Saccharomyces cerevisiae S288C: one gene and its partners. The gene in region 1 interacts genetically with each later gene. Each region holds a gene or a part of one and is shown in the gene's direction. Other genes may lie near its edges. The genes, in order: TDA3, SOM1 and TFB5.

Region 1 (9,557 bases):
CGTTCCCCTTTACCGCGTTATGATTCGTTTTGTCGTTAAGGTTGAAAACACCAGCAAACAATTTTTTTGAAGAAAAACCCCATTTGCGTATACTTATATGTAGATATATTTTATTAATATTTAATCATTGTTTACATACATTAAATATACATATGTTGATATTACTAATAATTTTTTGATTTTTGGTTGACCATAATGCAATTCTCTTAAAATCTCAACTTAGAGAAGAACCATTGGTTCTTACCAGCTTGGTGTCTTTCTTCGAAAGCCTTCTTGACGACTTTCTTAGCTTCTTCACGTTGGGAAGGTTGTTCGAAAGTTTCAGTAGAAACAACGGATTTGAAAGCTTCAACATCTAAAGTGTATCTGGTTGGCAATAAATGGTTGTAGTTGACGACCTTGATGAAAGGCTTGATCTTGGTTCTCTTAGCAACCTTCTTGGCACCGTGCTTCTTGGTGACCTTCAATGGGTATCTTTCAATACCGGCAACCAAAGCGTGACCAAATGGGTGAGACTTGGAACCTTCATCATGTGGTTTAACGATAACAACCTTCTTACCGGCGTAACGACCACGGACAACGACAGCTGTGTAAAAAAAGGAAGGAAAAGAAATAGTTAGTAAATGTGAACCCTTCTTAAAGTTTGGCGAATTCTCAATTTTGTTCTTCAATACTAGGGAGAGAAAAATTATCATAGGCCCACGAATTTTTAATAGGGCATGGAAAGAACTACAGTAAATAAAAGGCCCTGGTCGCCTGCGTACATGTGCCTATGGTCTTAGCAAATATATCGCGGAACTTTCACCATCTTATTTGGTGGCTATTGATGCTTTTTTCTTTTAAATTACAACTTTTTGATAACCCTTCCACTGCCTCGTATAGCTCAATGAATATGAATAATCGTTAGTTTCGCTCCTAAATCATTCATCTTTTTGTCCAATATTTCTATTAATAAGCTATCATTCAAATTTAAAGGTTTTTTCCCAGATCTAACATCTCCACGCTTTTTCCTCCCTACTCCCATATGAAGATACAATACTCGAATTCAAACTCAAATTATACAACATCAACTGCTAATAACTTGGATTTCTAATACCACAGTTGCACGGTTTTTTGTTGATGTCCAAAAACTGAAAATGATACGTACCAACTTTACCAGCTTTCAAGAACTTAGCCATTTTTTTCTTTGGTTATGCTTTTGTTTTAACACGTTGAGACTATCTAAGAAATTCTAAAAATCTAATATATCTTTAATTTTAGCTCAAAACTACGGCAGTATGTTTTACATGAACGAACACTTTACTAGTGAAAAGAATTTCAGGAAACCTGCCTTCGGGCGAATCTCTGCAGCAAGAGCGTAGGCGGAGCTCTGCTGGAAAGACTTTGTCTCAGACAGTTCTGTCGTGATGGGAGAACTGAGCGGATCACTCCCATTAGTTTGAGAGGAACTTCTCTCCGCAGCCTTGATTCTGCCTCGGGACTCCACCTGGAATATTGTTATCGGCTCTTTCAAGAAATACAGGACTCATAAGGTGAAAAAAAAAAAAACAGTGTAGGTGCAACAGCAAAAAATGTAAAGATGTAGGTGTACGGATGCATTAACGTCTTTCGAGGCCCTTTCCATTCTTCCGTGAAAAATATTCACTGAACGTATAATATGAGACGGTTCCGTCCGAGTCCCCTTAGCTGGAATCGTGTAAGCCAATTTATCAATACATGCAGCCTTGGTGCTTTTGTGCGTCTATCCCCTACATGCATAAGATTACGTATGAATGAAAAAAGCACGACATAGAAGTGAAACCATATCTGTAACCTGGCACACGTACTACAAAAGTTATATTGTTCCTTTTTTTTTTTTTTTTTTTTCTATTGTTAAATCAAGACTTAAAAAAAATCAGCCAACAAGTAATTCTGTTTGATAGTTCAAGTCACTCAGCAAAAGATTTTCGTGCTCTCCAATACACCATCTAAGTATCAATAGCATTTTAACCAAGCAACAGAAGGAATAGTGTTTATAAATGGGTGAAGATTTTATGCACCCACCGTTTCAAACGTACCCTTCAAAGAACAGCGAAGGGAAAAAACATATTGTCATTGTAGGTGGCGGTATCATCGGTTGCTGTACTGCTTACTACTTGACCCAGCATCCAAGTTTCAGCCCTTCGACGCATCATATTACCATCATTGAATCGAGGCGCATTGCTGGAGGGGCTTCTGGTAAAGCAGGTGGCTTGCTTGCATCTTGGGCTTTCCCTCACCAAATCGTACCTTTAAGTTTCCAGCTACATCAGGAGTTGAGTGATGAATATGATGGAGAAAACAACTGGGACTACAGAAGATTGACGACTGTGTCCTTAGAAGCAGATGTTCGCGAAGAAGTCATTGAAAACTACGAAAGACTGAGCAAGAAGGCATATAATCTGAATGTCCCTCCTCCAAAGAAGAGACCGGGCTACATATCCAACAAGTTTAACATCGGGGACTCTAATTCATCTTTGAGTTCTTCGGGCTCTTCTTTGAAAAACGACTCCGCTAGTAACGAGGAAGAAGGATCAGACATTCATGTTTCTAGCTCAGTACCCAGTTTACACTCTCTAACAAATGAGCGCATGAGAAGCCACACAAATAGCGCATCTGATCTTGACTCTGTAAGTCCCGTGGAGCAACTGAGAGAGACTAATATCCATAATCCTTTGCCTGCTGATTTAGATTGGATAAGAAGAGAATTGGTTAATGATTGGTCATCACTAGGTGGTACTGATACCACAGCGCAGCTTCATCCCTATAAATTCACCCATTTCATCTTATCGAAGGCAATGGAAACAGGTGCTGTCGATCTTCTCCTAGGTAAGGTAGTTGGGCTAAAGTGTGACGAGATGGATTGTGTTCATTCTCTTAAGTACCTTCCATCTGTCGTCAAGAATCGCAGAAATAGCAGAGGGCATGCAGAAAATCCAGACATTAAGCTGGGTACAATCTTCAACGATGAGAACGCGAAGCCCATTGAAATCAATGACATCCAGCAGATTGTTTTGAGTATGGGACCCTGGACTTCCAAGATTCTAAAAGATTGTCCAATTTCTGGATTGAGAGCCCACTCTGTCACCATTAAGCCTAGTGAAAAGACAGTTTCACCTTACGCTATTCTTGCTGAACTAAAAGTTAACGACCGTGAATTTTTCTCCCCTGAAATGTATGCTAGAAAAGATGAAGTTTATGTGTGCGGCGAAGGCGACACTTTAGTCAATATACCTGAAAGTTCGGACGATGTGGAGGTAGTTTCGGAGAAGTGTGATGAATTGTACCATTACGTATCCAAATTATCGCCAACTCTATCAAAGGGCCATCTCTTGCGGAAACAAGCCTGTTTTTTGCCAGTTTTAAACGTTCCTACAAGTTCTGGTCCCTTAATTGGTGAGACAAATGTCAAGGATCTTTATATTGCAAGTGGACATTCTTGTTGGGGTATTAACAATGCGCCAGCAACAGGTAAATTAATGGCTGAGATTCTCCTTGATGGCGAAGCAACCTCTGCGGAAATCTCAAGTTTGGATCCAAAGTTATATTTCGACGCCACCATCCTTTCTTAATCAAGCCGAGGAGTAAAAAGGTCAAGAAAAGTATATGCACAAATTTGTACATATAAGAGCTTATTTATTTATATATTTAAAATTTCTGAGGCCATTTAATGTGTATATATTTAACGAATACCTAAATCTATATATTTCTTTTTTTTTTTTCTCTCTCTCTCTCTCTTTCTCTTTCTCTCTTGGCGTCTATCCTGTTTGCCCTTGCGCATGCTACCGATTGCACGTGTAGTATTCTACTTGAGGTTGAGCTGATTACTAATTGCTATTATCATTGTTGGCGCGACCTTAAACCTGGACCAATAACACAGGCCGAACCACTAGCTTCGCAAAAAAAAAAGTAGGGATGTGCCGAAAAATTTCCGCGACCGTAGCAGACACCCCTGATGAAGAAGCTATAACTTGTATATAAGAGCGTTGCATCCCCAAAATATACAAGCTAGCTACAGCGATTGCTTTTCACTTGCTGCTACAGGAACGAAACCCCAATTGATAACTATACCTCCTAAAAACGTACCAGGATGTTCGCGAAAACAGCAGCTGCTAATTTAACCAAGAAGGGTGGTTTGTCATTGCTCTCCACCACAGCAAGGAGAACCAAAGTCACCTTGCCAGACTTGAAGTGGGACTTCGGTGCATTGGAACCTTATATCTCCGGTCAAATCAACGAATTGCATTACACCAAGCACCATCAAACTTATGTGAACGGATTCAACACTGCTGTTGACCAATTCCAAGAACTCTCAGATCTTCTGGCCAAGGAGCCCTCTCCCGCAAACGCAAGAAAAATGATTGCTATCCAACAAAACATCAAGTTCCATGGCGGTGGTTTCACAAACCACTGTCTATTCTGGGAAAACCTGGCTCCAGAGTCGCAGGGCGGTGGTGAACCACCCACCGGCGCTTTGGCAAAGGCAATCGACGAGCAGTTTGGCAGTCTGGACGAGCTGATTAAGTTGACCAACACAAAGCTAGCAGGCGTGCAGGGCTCCGGATGGGCCTTCATTGTGAAAAACCTCTCTAATGGAGGCAAGCTGGACGTTGTTCAAACCTACAACCAGGATACCGTCACAGGCCCACTAGTTCCTCTAGTTGCCATTGACGCCTGGGAACACGCCTACTACTTGCAGTACCAAAACAAGAAAGCCGACTACTTCAAAGCCATTTGGAATGTGGTCAACTGGAAAGAAGCATCCAGAAGATTCGATGCTGGCAAGATCTGAAGAAAGAAAGAAAGAAAATACCTTTTTTTTTCCACTGTGTCGTTTTTATTCTAACTACTCTACTAAATCACACAACCACACTCCCCTATTTAATAATATATTTTACTATTAAAATACATATACATGCATCGTAAAAAAAGAAAAAAAGAAAAGAAAAGAACCGAAAAAGACAATACAACCAACCTTCCTCCACTTTTTCTTTTTCCTTGTTCTCTCTCGCTTCCTACGTTACTCGCGCCTGTGCACTACATTCCCACCAGATTAACTCACCACCAGGCAGAGAACCAATTGTTCTTGTTATTGTTCCAACCGATAATTGTAAAGCCATTAAGGTCGTAAACGACTGCTTACTCAGGGAGATCTCCGAAAACGGCAATTGCTGTGCACCGTGCGACGTTATGATCGCCGCCTGTCCCGTACAGACGAACAATTGCAACAATGGGCGGTTGTTTAGAGAGGTTTTGTGCCGCGCCCGGGAATTACCGGGGGCACAGCAAAATACGAAATTTCCGGCAAAATGTCTCTGTACGAAAATGAGGCCAGCCTTTATTCCCGACTAAGCCGTACGATTATAGTAATGTCACACGAAGTGGATACTATACGAGCAGCGCACATACAATGTGCGTGCAAGATTTGCCGGGTTGGACAATCTTAAAGGCCGATAATCCACGAAAAACGAGACAAACGAAGCGCTGGCCCTAAACGAAACGAAACGAAACTAAGATTTCAAGATAATCGCTTTTCAGATGACAATAGTCTCTTGCAGAACACAATAAGTGTGGTAGGTATCTTGCAGGAGACATCGATTTTATGCCTGAATTTTTTTTTTTTCTTGGTATGAGCACATCCTATTGTGCATCTCCACGAGTTAACGACGTTTACGTACTCGCATGTATTCGAAAAGCCTCTAAAAATTGCCCTCCATGTGTATTCATTATATAAGATAGCGTATTTTCCCTTAGTTTTCTTATTCCCTCTTAATTCTCTCTTTCAATGTCTTTTTTTTTTTCCCTTTTCCTTTTTCCCTTTTCGTTATTGGTAAATTATTTATAAAAAGATTGATAAGCAGTATCGTTCAGCGTGTGTATTTTCGATAGGAAGTAATAATTTTTCATTATATTAATTAATAGTTTCCAGAAAAAATTTTTTTTCCTTCACAATTGCAGCAGGCTTGAATAGAAACAGAACAAACGAGTAATACAAGGATGTCTGCTACCAAGTCAATCGTTGGAGAGGCATTGGAATACGTAAACATTGGTTTAAGTCATTTCTTGGCTTTACCATTGGCCCAAAGAATCTCTTTGATCATAATAATTCCTTTCATTTACAATATTGTATGGCAATTACTATATTCTTTGAGAAAGGACCGTCCACCTCTAGTGTTTTACTGGATTCCATGGGTCGGTAGTGCTGTTGTGTACGGTATGAAGCCATACGAGTTTTTCGAAGAATGTCAAAAGAAATACGGTGATATTTTTTCATTCGTTTTGTTAGGAAGAGTCATGACTGTGTATTTAGGACCAAAGGGTCACGAATTTGTCTTCAACGCTAAGTTGGCAGATGTTTCAGCAGAAGCTGCTTACGCTCATTTGACTACTCCAGTTTTCGGTAAAGGTGTTATTTACGATTGTCCAAATTCTAGATTGATGGAGCAAAAGAAGTTTGTTAAGGGTGCTCTAACCAAAGAAGCCTTCAAGAGCTACGTTCCATTGATTGCTGAAGAAGTGTACAAGTACTTCAGAGACTCCAAAAACTTCCGTTTGAATGAAAGAACTACTGGTACTATTGACGTGATGGTTACTCAACCTGAAATGACTATTTTCACCGCTTCAAGATCATTATTGGGTAAGGAAATGAGAGCAAAATTGGATACCGATTTTGCTTACTTGTACAGTGATTTGGATAAGGGTTTCACTCCAATCAACTTCGTCTTCCCTAACTTACCATTGGAACACTATAGAAAGAGAGATCACGCTCAAAAGGCTATCTCCGGTACTTACATGTCTTTGATTAAGGAAAGAAGAAAGAACAACGACATTCAAGACAGAGATTTGATCGATTCCTTGATGAAGAACTCTACCTACAAGGATGGTGTGAAGATGACTGATCAAGAAATCGCTAACTTGTTAATTGGTGTCTTAATGGGTGGTCAACATACTTCTGCTGCCACTTCTGCTTGGATTTTGTTGCACTTGGCTGAAAGACCAGATGTCCAACAAGAATTGTACGAAGAACAAATGCGTGTTTTGGATGGTGGTAAGAAGGAATTGACCTACGATTTATTACAAGAAATGCCATTGTTGAACCAAACTATTAAGGAAACTCTAAGAATGCACCATCCATTGCACTCTTTGTTCCGTAAGGTTATGAAAGATATGCACGTTCCAAACACTTCTTATGTCATCCCAGCAGGTTATCACGTTTTGGTTTCTCCAGGTTACACTCATTTAAGAGACGAATACTTCCCTAATGCTCACCAATTCAACATTCACCGTTGGAACAAAGATTCTGCCTCCTCTTATTCCGTCGGTGAAGAAGTCGATTACGGTTTCGGTGCCATTTCTAAGGGTGTCAGCTCTCCATACTTACCTTTCGGTGGTGGTAGACACAGATGTATCGGTGAACACTTTGCTTACTGTCAGCTAGGTGTTCTAATGTCCATTTTTATCAGAACATTAAAATGGCATTACCCAGAGGGTAAGACCGTTCCACCTCCTGACTTTACATCTATGGTTACTCTTCCAACCGGTCCAGCCAAGATCATCTGGGAAAAGAGAAATCCAGAACAAAAGATCTAAGGTTTGTAACTGAGAAAAAAAAAAAAAACAGAAAAAGAGAGAAGTTGTACATTCACGTGGGCCTTATCGCCACACTCATCCATCTCCAATGATTTATTTTATTTGCCAGTACGTTTGATATGACATCGAGTTATGTTCTTTAGTTACTTTCAAACTTGGACAACCATCCCGCATTATTTATGAGTGGTATGGTTTCACTTCTTTATTTATAAATATTTATACTACGAAATTATATATAGATTACATTTCTAAAACAACATCAAATATAAGGTTTATTTATGCAACATGCCTACTGGATTAGAAGAGAGAACACACAGCTCACAGGCCAAGCGGAAATAAAGCAGTCTTTTCGCAAACTTGTAAATCTTTTTGCAATTTAAATTAATCAAGAGAGGGCCCAGGAGGAGAGGAGTTTTGGGGAGGGGTCACTGAGGAAGCTCTCTTAAATATGGATTCACTGAAATAAATGTATATAAGATTCATTACTGCTTTTTATAGTGATAAATCCAAATGATGAGTGAATTGAACCATCCTTAGTATCCATTGTTTTATAAAGCACCGCTAAAAATAATATATTGCTACAAAAATGATATAATAATAATATTACGTAAAATACCTGAAACCGCCATAAAAATAATACCTGAATTAACCTTAAAATTCTATCCCATAAGCTTTTTTGTAAAGGGCCAGATAATCTTGAGTCTCCTTCAAATGATTCTCACCCAGAAGTTCAAAGTCCATTTGCTTCTGTAACATCTCATTAATGGAAATCATATTGCTTTCCTTTGACTGATTGATTGCGTCCTCCTCGGTTTTGTCTGGCTCCAACAACGATTGCTCTGAATCCAATGGGTATGACTTATTTGTTTCTGTAGTTGTTATTGGATCGCCTGAAAGTGGAGATAGCGCTGAGGAGGCAGAGGATAATGCTGGAGAATCCATATGCAATGTGTATCTTGATGATTGATACTCTTGTGGTACAGAAGATGCATTTTGGGGTGACAAAATTGGGGGAGATATTATTGACCACTCTTTGAGATTTTGGACTTCTGTAGGTCCTCTTGATTGTGTAGTTTGTGTAGGTCTTGATATTTGTTTGCGTTCAAACCATTGAGTGCCTATTCCAAAATCGTTTTTTTCGGTTTTGGTTGGTATGATCTTGTCATTAGGGCGTTCCTTGGACTGCATTACTGTCGCTTCTATACAATTCTTATTTTGTAAAGCTGGTTCGGAAACACTTTCGTCGGATGAGATGAACCTTGTTTGGCCATCCGAAGTCTTTATCATTTTCATTTTAGACGTCTTTTTCTTCTCTCGTATTCCCTCTGAATAGCCTTCTGGTAAACCTTTGCAACTCCCAGCCTCAATGTGGTTTTCCACCCAGCTCTCACTAGTGCTAAAGTGTTCCCCACATTGAGTGCACACTCCAGGTGATTTATTACGGTCCTGAGGCTTAACACCTTCTGGGTAAGTGAAATGTCTAGATTTCAAATGTGTTTTGTAGGTATCTCTTCTGCTAAACCCCCCAGAAGTATGGCATCGCAATTCTTGCGAAATGCTATTATCAAAAAATGGACAGTGATAGGCCTTCCTTTTCGCATGCTTTTTTATGTGTCGTGTTAAGTAACCTCTGATTCGGAACCTAGCATCGCAATAGTGACATATATATGGTAAAGTTTCGGATGACTCATCAGCAATTCCTTGAACCTCATCGGATAGGGGAGATTCATCAATACTTTTCTTCGATGCAGGAGTGATTACGCTACTTACGGGCGTGATTGGAAGGAAATTAGAGGGGAAAAGAGCTTTGTACTGGTCATTATTGATATAGGATTCCTCTAGCGGGGGAGAACTTATCAAGTCATTCTGTAACTTTGCTGGCTCGCCGCGGCTAGGGCCCCGTAAAATCGGTTCGTCCAAGTTCAACTGTGTAGTGACTGCACCATTAT
Region 2 (7,919 bases), on another chromosome or scaffold:
ATCAAATAGACTGAACAAATGACCTAATCTTTCTAGATTACTCCAAAAGAAAAAGCTGAAAGGAAACCGGTTAAAAACATGAAAGCTTTCTGTAGGGAAGTTTTTTCCTCGCTCTGCTCCTGAGCCTACAGGAGCATGGAAATGGTTGAAAGGACCGAGGAAGAAAGGGAGCATGTCAAATAGAACAAGAGGAAAAAAAAGGTGAAAACAGCTATTTTAAGCAGCAGAAGTTTGAGTCAGAAATGCCTACAATATATGAGAATTTCTTCGCACATGGTTTAAAAAAACTAAATAATCCGCGTGATAACGTTCTCACCAGATTATGAAATCAAATAACAATGCCCCACCTGTATATTGCGATTGACGTAAACGGTAATAAATGTAAAATTTAACATAAAAAAGGGTAAAGAAAACAAACTTTTTCAGGGGTCATCCCTTTTTGTTTTCTTTTTCATTCTTATAAATCAAGAGTATTTTATCGGTAGACAGTTTAGCCGCCGATTTTGTACCGCAGTCCAATATTAGTAAATGTTGGGCACCACTTTGAACATACCGACTCATTGAGACTGCAAGAGCAATTATTTTATATTCTTCTTGAGGCGCCGTTAAAGAGAGAATGAACACGACAATTATCTACAGCATGCAATCGTGGTCAGAATTCTAACTTTTTGTCTTATAAATGCGCACGTATTATTTTCATTTATGTATATATAGATAAATCAGAGCATTGAGTAGTAAAACTGAAGGCTCAAGAGTTCTGATACGCGATGAGAATTCGTGCAGTTAGGATGTCAATTTTGCCAAAATTGGGACGGGCGGCTGCCGTCCGGGGATTCCATGAAGAGAGTGGAAAAAAAAGTGTCACTAACTTCCCACAGGTATCCCCGACACCCTATCCTGCGCTAAGAAAGCCAATCGGCTGAATGTGCAATTGATTGACGTTGAAGGAAAAGAAAAAAAGGAGAAAATTGGGGCGATAATAACAATCACAAACGTCTTCCACTTTTTATCAAATGTTGCGGGAAGAAATAAGGGTAAAATGCCTTGTGTAGGTTCATACATATATAAATAAGTAAGGAAGTTAAAAGAAACCCTTCAAAATGTAACCTACATCATGCGTAGGCTTAATATTAAGCGGAGAAAATCGGCAAGCCCAAGCTTATATTCATATTATGGAATACAAAAGGCGAAAAAGAAAATTGACTAGTAACTAAATTGAAAATTAAATGGCAAATGATGGGATTCAGAGGAATGACAACAGAAAGGGTTTTAAAACTGTACAGTTCTCGGCTTATTCTAAAGAAATTGACGTCATAATGAAAAAAATATCATTCTTGGAAAGAAACATTACCCAACAACTAGATACTCTTCCTCATTTTCCAAAAACCTTACCACCAAATCACAAAGATTGTGTAAGTAGAAAGCACAGGGCCAGGCGAGGTTGGAGTAGTCAGCTGAAAAACTTGCTAGGCATTTACTCCAAAGAGGAAATTTTTACTCTGGATAATTTAGCTGCAACACTGCATGATCAAGTTTTAAAGTTACAAGCTACACTTTTTCCCAATGCCATACTGAAACAGGTTCATCTCGACAATGCCAACATAGAAAACAAGAGAATTCTGAAGGAAATTACATATAAATACCTTTCCAACGAAAACTGTAAAGAGGAGAACAAATTCGGAACATTCATCGTAAAGAGAATTTTTTTTGGTGACTTATCACTCGGGGTTTCCGTGTTAATCAACCGTATTGCTTTCGAATCGGCCACATCATCCATTATGGTAGTGAGAAGTTCATTTATTGAAAGTGATTTCTTTTATGAAGATTATTTGATTTTCGATTGCAGAGCGAAACGACGAAAAAAATTGAAGAGGAAAATTTTGTTTATTTCCACTACCATGAATTTCAATTACCAAACCAAAGTCTAAGCCTGTAACAAACGTTGATTGATACCAATATTTTTTCTCTTTCATTTATCTCTCTGTATATCTAAATAGCTATACTATACATCGAATAATGCTTTCAAGCAGATGCCTTAACGTGCTCCACCACTTCGTCACAAAATTGACCTAACTTAGAGGAGTCCTTACATTCCGCATAAACCCTCACCGCATCCTCCGTACCACTGGCTCTGACAAAGCTTCTTCCCATGGGATACTTGGCTACCACAAGATCTATCTTGTCTTGCAACCCCACTGGATTGAGCAATTTTCTTTCCTGGTCCGTGGTTTGGAAAATTGACCTATCAGGAACGATGCACTTAACCAGCTTGTTGGGCAAATCAGTATACTCTTCATCCCAATCCATTGGCGACATTTTCAAAATCGCCAAAGTAGCAAGGACAGCAAGCATGTCTGAAATAGCATCTCCCACGGTCTGATTAATCAATTCAGAGAAACACTTCAAAGTTCTCAAAGCTAACGTATCACCATTTAACTTGGACTTGGATAATTCAGATTTGATAGTTCGATGAAATTTTTCGCTGAATATAATCGTACCATGTCCATTTGCTTCGAAATAAATGCCAATATCGTACTGAGTGGCAGCTTCATGATGCAAGTGTTTAACACCTGTCTTAGTGCAAGACACGGGACAGTGCAACGTATTTTTTATGTAAGCGGTGGAACTGCCGTTTGCATAGGCAGTTTGCACAACACCAATCTTCAAAGAATGTTCTAGGTGTGCCAATTCTAGTTGTTTAGACAAGAACTTTGCAAACAAAGTGGAAATTTTGTCACCATCCAACAAATGAAATTTTGATCCTGAGTCGACATAGTAGAACACAACCCTGTCTGCGTCACCATCAAAGGAGCAATATAGCGAATCAAACGAGGATGGAGAAAGACCCTTGGGTAATCTCTGGTTAGTCTTCACATAATCCGCACCGCATTCAAAATTCAACAGTTCTGGAACATCGGACCTGTCGTTGATTACCTCAACTTGCTCCGCTGGCACGTCCCAATCTTCGGAGGCCAGTAGTTTTTTCAACTGTGGACCACCGATACCATTGGCTGTGTCTATGAACAATTTTGGGACAGACAGCCTCTTCTCCAGCTGATACGTGGCGAAGAGCTCGTTGAAGGCTCCTATAAAGAACGAATAGTAGTCCTGTTCTGTGGCAACTGGCGCTGTGTCTCCTTCCAGTTTCCGCCTGTTGGACAAATCAGTAATGTAATGCAATTGAGGCGTAGTGACACAGCCTAGGTCCAAAACTTGCGCGTGGAAGACGCTGGCCATGGAGGAAGTCAAGCAGCGCAGCAAGTATGGACTACTTTCCCTAGAGTCTCTCCCAACCACGATGTGAGGCACGACGGTTGTATTCAAATCAATCTTTTCGTGTTCAATCAGCTTGGCCAACTCAACACGAAATTCTTCAAAATTAGTGGCAAAAGAGGCCGCATTGGCCAACTGCATGGCATATGGCTCCCATGTGGCCAAAAGCATCGATCCGTCTGGTTCCACGATCTTGACCCCGTTGTCCTGGTATGGGTTGTGCGACGCCGTGATCATCACCCCCACATACTGACCCTGAAGCTTCAGCGACCTGAGAACCGCCAGTATACCAGTACTGAACATCACCGTATCCAAATTCTTGGCCAGCGTTCTGAATCCGGCCGTACCGTAACTGAACTGCACATTCTTTGTGCGGCACGTGTCATCGTAGAGTTTGCACAATTGCTCGTAATCAACCTTCATCGTCTCTAAGCTTACTGCTGACCTTTGCCTTGGTCCTTGTACTTGTCTCGATTGCTGAAACCATTAACGGTTTTTTGTTCTTACTTAATCTTTTTTTTCCCGACGACGCAAAATGTCAGAAAAGATATAAATAGAGCAACGTTTCCTGCTACATGAAACACGCTGGCATATAGAAGAACTTCAACGAGCGAGGCTCTCTGAACAATCTGCTAATCGTGCAAGTAAGGGTTCTCGTGACAGTTCACCGTGTATAAACAGATAAACAGATAAACAGTCAGATATGCTTAATTTTTAACTGTAGGCTGTGCCGACATGCCATTTTATGCGGCTCACTTCTAACAAAAGTGACCATGACGCACAAGCAAGCAAACAGCCAAGTAAGGAAGCAGACAGCTTCACAGCACACACACACCGTTGTGTACGAAAATCCTCTGCAGAAGAGTGTATATGCCACTCATCCACACTTCCGCAGCGCAGTACGTAATGCGGTATCGTGAAAGCGAAAAAAAAACTAACAGTAGATAAGACAGATAGACAGATAGAGATGGACGAGAAACAGGGGGGGAGAAAAGGGGAAAAGAGAAGGAAAGAAAGACTCATCTATCGCAGATAAGACAATCAACCCTCATGGCGCCTCCAACCACCATCCGCACTAGGGACCAAGCGCTCGCACCGTTAGCAACGCTTGACTCACAAACCAACTGCCGGCTGAAAGAGCTTGTGCAATGGGAGTGCCAATTCAAAGGAGCCGAATACGTCTGCTCGCCTTTTAAGAGGCTTTTTGAACACTGCATTGCACCCGACAAATCAGCCACTAACTACGAGGTCACGGACACATATACCAATAGTTAAAAATTACATATACTCTATATAGCACAGTAGTGTGATAAATAAAAAATTTTGCCAAGACTTTTTTAAACTGCACCCGACAGATCAGGTCTGTGCCTACTATGCACTTATGCCCGGGGTCCCGGGAGGAGAAAAAACGAGGGCTGGGAAATGTCCGTGGACTTTAAACGCTCCGGGTTAGCAGAGTAGCAGGGCTTTCGGCTTTGGAAATTTAGGTGACTTGTTGAAAAAGCAAAATTTGGGCTCAGTAATGCCACTGCAGTGGCTTATCACGCCAGGACTGCGGGAGTGGCGGGGGCAAACACACCCGCGATAAAGAGCGCGATGAATATAAAAGGGGGCCAATGTTACGTCCCGTTATATTGGAGTTCTTCCCATACAAACTTAAGAGTCCAATTAGCTTCATCGCCAATAAAAAAACAAACTAAACCTAATTCTAACAAGCAAAGATGAAGTTAGAAAATACTCTATTTACACTCGGTGCCCTAGGGAGCATCTCTGCTGCTTTGGTCATCCCAAATCTTGAAAATGCCGCCGACCACCACGAACTGATTAACAAGGAAGATCACCACGAGAGACCCAGAAAAGTGGAATTCACTAAGGACGATGATGAGGAGCCATCTGACTCTGAAGATAAAGAACATGGAAAGTTCCATAAGAAGGGCCGCAAGGGCCAAGACAAGGAGTCTCCGGAATTCAACGGTAAACGTGCAAGTGGCTCTCATGGGAGCGCCCACGAGGGAGGAAAGGGCATGAAGCCTAAGCATGAAAGTTCCAATGATGATGATAATGATGATAAGAAGAAGAAGCCTCACCATAAGGGTGGCTGCCACGAAAATAAGGTGGAGGAGAAGAAGATGAAAGGTAAGAAAGTCAAGGGCAAGAAGCACCACGAAAAGACGTTGGAGAAAGGGAGGCACCACAACAGGCTGGCTCCTCTCGTGTCCACTGCACAATTCAACCCAGACGCGATCTCCAAGATCATCCCCAACCGCTACATTATAGTCTTCAAGAGAGGTGCCCCTCAAGAAGAGATCGATTTCCACAAGGAAAACGTCCAGCAGGCACAACTTCAATCCGTAGAGAACTTATCTGCCGAAGACGCTTTCTTCATTTCTACTAAAGACACCTCCTTGTCCACCTCTGAGGCTGGCGGTATCCAGGACTCATTCAACATCGATAATCTTTTCTCCGGTTACATCGGTTACTTCACCCAAGAGATTGTCGACTTGATACGTCAAAACCCATTAGTAGACTTTGTTGAGAGAGACTCTATTGTCGAGGCTACAGAATTTGACACTCAAAATAGCGCCCCATGGGGGTTGGCCCGTATTTCCCACAGAGAGCGCCTCAACCTGGGGTCCTTCAACAAGTATCTCTACGATGATGATGCCGGTCGCGGTGTCACGTCCTATGTTATTGACACGGGTGTCAACATCAACCACAAGGACTTCGAAAAGAGAGCCATTTGGGGGAAAACCATCCCACTTAACGACGAAGATCTCGACGGTAACGGCCACGGTACCCACTGTGCCGGTACTATCGCTTCCAAACACTACGGTGTCGCTAAAAATGCCAACGTTGTTGCGGTGAAAGTCTTGAGATCAAACGGGTCTGGTACCATGTCTGATGTCGTCAAAGGTGTCGAATATGCCGCAAAGGCGCACCAAAAAGAAGCCCAAGAAAAGAAAAAGGGGTTCAAAGGTTCCACAGCCAATATGTCGCTTGGTGGTGGCAAGTCCCCAGCTTTGGACTTGGCTGTTAATGCAGCCGTTGAAGTCGGTATTCACTTTGCCGTGGCTGCTGGTAACGAAAACCAAGACGCTTGTAATACCTCCCCAGCTTCTGCTGACAAGGCCATCACCGTCGGAGCTTCCACGTTGAGCGATGACAGAGCCTACTTTTCCAACTGGGGTAAGTGTGTCGACGTTTTCGCCCCAGGTTTAAACATTTTGTCCACCTACATTGGAAGTGATGACGCCACCGCCACTTTATCGGGTACCTCAATGGCTTCCCCTCACGTTGCTGGTTTGTTGACCTACTTTTTGTCTTTGCAACCAGGTTCTGATAGTGAATTTTTCGAATTGGGCCAGGATTCTTTGACTCCTCAGCAATTGAAAAAGAAGCTAATTCATTACAGTACAAAGGACATTTTGTTCGATATCCCTGAAGACACTCCAAATGTTTTAATCTACAACGGTGGTGGTCAAGATTTGTCCGCTTTCTGGAATGATACCAAAAAGTCCCATTCATCTGGTTTCAAGCAAGAATTGAACATGGATGAATTCATTGGATCAAAGACCGATTTAATCTTTGATCAAGTGAGAGATATTCTTGATAAATTGAATATTATTTAATTCTTCATTTAGAAAAATTTCAGCTGCTTTTTTTTTTCTTTTTCTTTCCTTAGGCGTCTCGAGGTTACAAGTCGGAGTCCCTCTTCACTATCGTTTGTCCACTTTTTTTATATCCCCATTATTTTCAATCTGAATTTCATTTTTTTTTTTTAATTCATGAAATTTATATGTCCCACGTATTACTACATATTTGCGTTTTTAATTAAATAAATAACTGTTACTTTTATTATATCTTATTTGCAGATCACTTATCTGATCAAATGTTTTCGTTTTCGTGTGTGGTGACGATGTATTAGGTACGCGAAATAAACAAAACAAACAAACAAGGCCGCAACAATAACATCATCTAAAGACTTCCTTTGTGACCCGCTTCTCAACAGCGGGTGTAGAACTTATGGTATGGCCAGAAAGTAACGTTGAGTATAGATACAGAAGCAAGCAATTCAAAGGAAAAAGTAATAAAAAGTATATAAAAGCGCAAAAAATACAACAAGAAAGAATTTGTTTGATGCCAGCGGAAAACCAAAATACGGGTCAAGATAGAAGCTCCAACAGCATCAGTAAAAATGGCAACTCTCAGGTTGGATGTCACACTGTTCCTAATGAGGAACTGAACATCACTGTAGCTGTGCGATGCAGAGGAAGGAATGAAAGGGAAATTAGTATGAAAAGCTCCGTTGTGGTAAATGTTCCAGATATTACAGGTTCTAAAGAAATTTCCATTAACACGACGGGAGATACCGGTATAACTGCTCAAATGAATGCCAAGAGATACACAGTGGACAAAGTCTTCGGTCCCGGCGCTTCCCAGGATCTAATTTTTGATGAAGTGGCGGGCCCATTATTCCAGGATTTCATTAAAGGTTACAATTGCACCGTACTGGTATATGGTATGACGTCAACAGGTAAAACATATACAATGACGGGCGACGAAAAGTTATATAATGGTGAATTGAGCGATGCAGCAGGAATTATACCGAGGGTTCTTTTGAAGTTGTTTGACACATTGGAACTACA
Region 3 (2,669 bases), on another chromosome or scaffold:
AATTTCAACCCTATACTAAACCTCTCTTCTGATCCAATTACATATTTACCGATTTTCCAAGCTTTATAATATTGCTTTCTTTCCATAAACCAATCGAAATGATCCTTCAATGATAACTCTTGAACCCTGATGGCATCGTTGGAACTTATCAAATAGTATTCTGGTGTTGTTTTATCTATATGTTTACCGAGGTGATAATCATTTATAGACAATTTTTCATAGTTTTTCATGATAACTTCATCATTATAGATTTCATCACCATTAAAAAGATCAACAATTTTTAATTCTGGAGCATTCCCTTTGGCTAATAAGTTTTCTGGCCGCTTGCTAAAATTCTTCCCCTCCTTCATATCTTCATCTATGGTTGCTTCCTCTTCAATATCTATATCAAAACCTAGGCATAATAACTGATCATCCTTAAACGATGCAAGCCCTGTAATCAACATTGACACAGTAAAATGGCATTCTAATTCAACTTTCTTATCAGGTGTCCCTCTAAAACTCGATGCAGCACTAGACAAGAGAGATCCGATGTTTGTCGTAGGGTTAAAATGACTCATATTATTACTTTGAGAATTAGAGTCACCGGATTTGATCGAATTTGAATCCTTGGTAAAGGAAACTTTAAATAGCCAAATATTAGATCCCCATCCGATAACGACACGATCACTTTCTAAAAAATGAACATGGGGTCTAAATAGATCTGGCCTTACATCCTGTACGTTAAAAATTCTGGAGGGGAATGGAATATTCAAAAGCTGTGATCTTGTAGGAACATCGCAAAATGTTATTCCATCATCATCCATCCATAATATAAGGTCACCCATAGTATAAATTCCCATGATAGGGCCCTTCATATCAGAGGATAGGTCATCTTTTCTTGTTTTTTTCTTTTTCTTCTTGTTTAAAACGATGTCGATTCTATTTCCTAGCCAATTTCTCTGAGATAGTACAACGTCGCCAGCCATTCCACCAGAAACAAACATTCTGGATGCTTGAAAATTTGAGTGCAACGCTACAGAGTTTATAGGTCTTTTGAAATCGTATTGTGTAATGTTTTGTGGATCATCCATCGATCCGATAATCACTGTCCCGTCAATAGATCCCGTAGCAAAATATTTTCCGTCAGTGTTAATACAAAGTATCGAAGATCTATGGCATTTGATGGTTTTAATGGGTTCGAACGCGCATGTAGTTAAGTGTAGAATGCCTGAGTGTGTACCAAATGCAAAAAAAGTATCACCAAATAAACATGAAGAGATCGAGTCTCGTTGAAAAAAGTTCTTCGGGAGTTGACTAATTCGTGTGTACTTCAATAAGGGGGGCTCATCTTCGTCATCCTCATCTTCATCATCGTCATCATCATCATCATCATCATCATCACCTGTTTCTGCATCCGTCGCACTTCCTGTTATTGTACTCTCATCTGTTCGAGAAGCTACTCCATTTTCCGCTTGTGATATGCAACTAACACTTTTTGTTGGTGAAGTTACATTAACGTCTTCCCTCTTATTATCAACATTATTCTCGTCAGAGATGGAATTACTCTCATCAATTGTTCGTTCGCCTGATTGTTGATCCAAAACAGAATCATTCTGATGATTATCTGTAGTCATTAATGTCTAATAGTAGGTATATACTCTTCGTTAAAATGCTTTTTTATTTTGCATATATATTTTACAACAGTCTCAATAGCCCTTTTAATTTTTCTTTTGTATCGTATTATTGAAAAAAGACGAGCAAACTGCAGTAAGATAGAAGTGTACTCCCAATAGAGACAAAGCCAAGATACTTTTGTAAAAGAACGAAAAAATGGCTAGAGCAAGAAAGGGTGCACTGGTTCAATGTGATCCATCCATCAAGGCGCTCATATTACAAATTGACGCCAAGATGAGTGATATAGTACTAGAGGAGTTGGATGACACCCATCTTTTAGTAAATCCCTCGAAAGTCGAATTTGTTAAGCATGAGCTAAATAGGCTATTATCTAAGAATATATATAATCCTATGGATGAAGAAGAAAATCAGTAATTATTGCTCATTCAGCTTTTTCAATACTATTTGAATAGAGCATGACCTGCATAACCAGGTCAGACATGAATATAGAGGGGAAGTGATGATCTAGTGGAAATACGACTATACAGGTATGTACATGTTAGAATAATAAATATAAGGAAGAAAAAGTGGTCAGGTGCAAGTATACATCTTTAACCGTTTTCTTTTCTCATCCTTTTTTGAGAGCCAAATCCCGTTTAATTTTTTCTTTTTCCTCCTCAAGGTCTAAACCAAACTCCTCTTGTATCTTTTTCTCCAACCTAAGCCTTTTCTCTAAACGTTCTTTTTTCATCCTTGCCAGTTCAGCTTTAATCTCATAAGGCTCTTTTGGTATTTGGTTCAACGTTGCAGGATCTGGCCAAAACCCTGGAACATTTAATTTTTTATCAGTATCTGTACCAATATAGTACATTACAGCAACAGGTGCTAGCAAACAAAATGAAAATCTAAAGATCTCCAGTTGCGCCCTTGTATATTTAAACTTGAAGTTATTAAATAGACCCATTTTGTACTTGTCGAAGTGATTACTTTTGTTTGTCAGCCCTTATTAAATTGTTATAGAACAGAAAATATCAGCAAGATGCGCTGATATATTGGAATTATACGGGAAAAAA

The links.
Region 2: mutations in TDA3 (region 1) and SOM1 together harm fitness less than expected from each alone (positive genetic interaction), as found in Saccharomyces cerevisiae (one large-scale study listed by BioGRID).
Region 3: mutations in TDA3 (region 1) and TFB5 together harm fitness more than expected from each alone (negative genetic interaction), as found in Saccharomyces cerevisiae (one large-scale study listed by BioGRID).

What each region holds. Positions count from the first base shown.
Region 1 is NC_001140.6:118,142-127,698, reverse strand, and holds TDA3 (Tda3p), read left to right. Parts: upstream 1-2,018; coding exon 2,019-3,590; downstream 3,591-9,557. Other genes in the region: 60S ribosomal protein eL27 RPL27A, read right to left, coding at 207-586, 1,148-1,178; superoxide dismutase SOD2, read left to right, coding at 4,109-4,810; YHR007C-A (uncharacterized protein), read left to right, coding at 4,934-5,149; ERG11 (sterol 14-demethylase), read left to right, coding at 6,016-7,608; STP2 (Stp2p), read right to left, coding at 8,260-9,557. UniProt on the Saccharomyces cerevisiae protein: Putative oxidoreductase that negatively regulates the retrieval of cargo from late endosomes to the Golgi. Regulates YIF1 and KEX2 localization. Required for fast DNA replication.
Region 2 is NC_001137.3:39,029-46,947, reverse strand, and holds SOM1 (Som1p), read left to right. Parts: upstream 1-4,323; coding exon 4,324-4,548; downstream 4,549-7,919. Other genes in the region: SDD1 (Sdd1p), read left to right, coding at 1,227-1,928; phosphoacetylglucosamine mutase PCM1, read right to left, coding at 2,023-3,696; HHY1 (Hhy1p), read right to left, coding at 3,988-4,296; PRB1 (proteinase B), read left to right, coding at 4,995-6,902; kinesin motor protein CIN8, read left to right, coding at 7,411-7,919. UniProt on the Saccharomyces cerevisiae protein: Non-catalytic component of the mitochondrial inner membrane peptidase (IMP) complex. IMP catalyzes the removal of signal peptides required for the targeting of proteins from the mitochondrial matrix, across the inner membrane, into the inter-membrane space.
Region 3 is NC_001136.10:602,955-605,623, reverse strand, and holds TFB5 (TFIIH complex subunit TFB5), read left to right. Parts: upstream 1-1,812; coding exon 1,813-2,031; downstream 2,032-2,669. Other genes in the region: VPS41 (Vps41p), read right to left, coding at 1-1,616; PET100 (Pet100p), read right to left, coding at 2,225-2,560. UniProt on the Saccharomyces cerevisiae protein: Component of the general transcription and DNA repair factor IIH (TFIIH) core complex, which is involved in general and transcription-coupled nucleotide excision repair (NER) of damaged DNA and, when complexed to TFIIK, in RNA transcription by RNA polymerase II.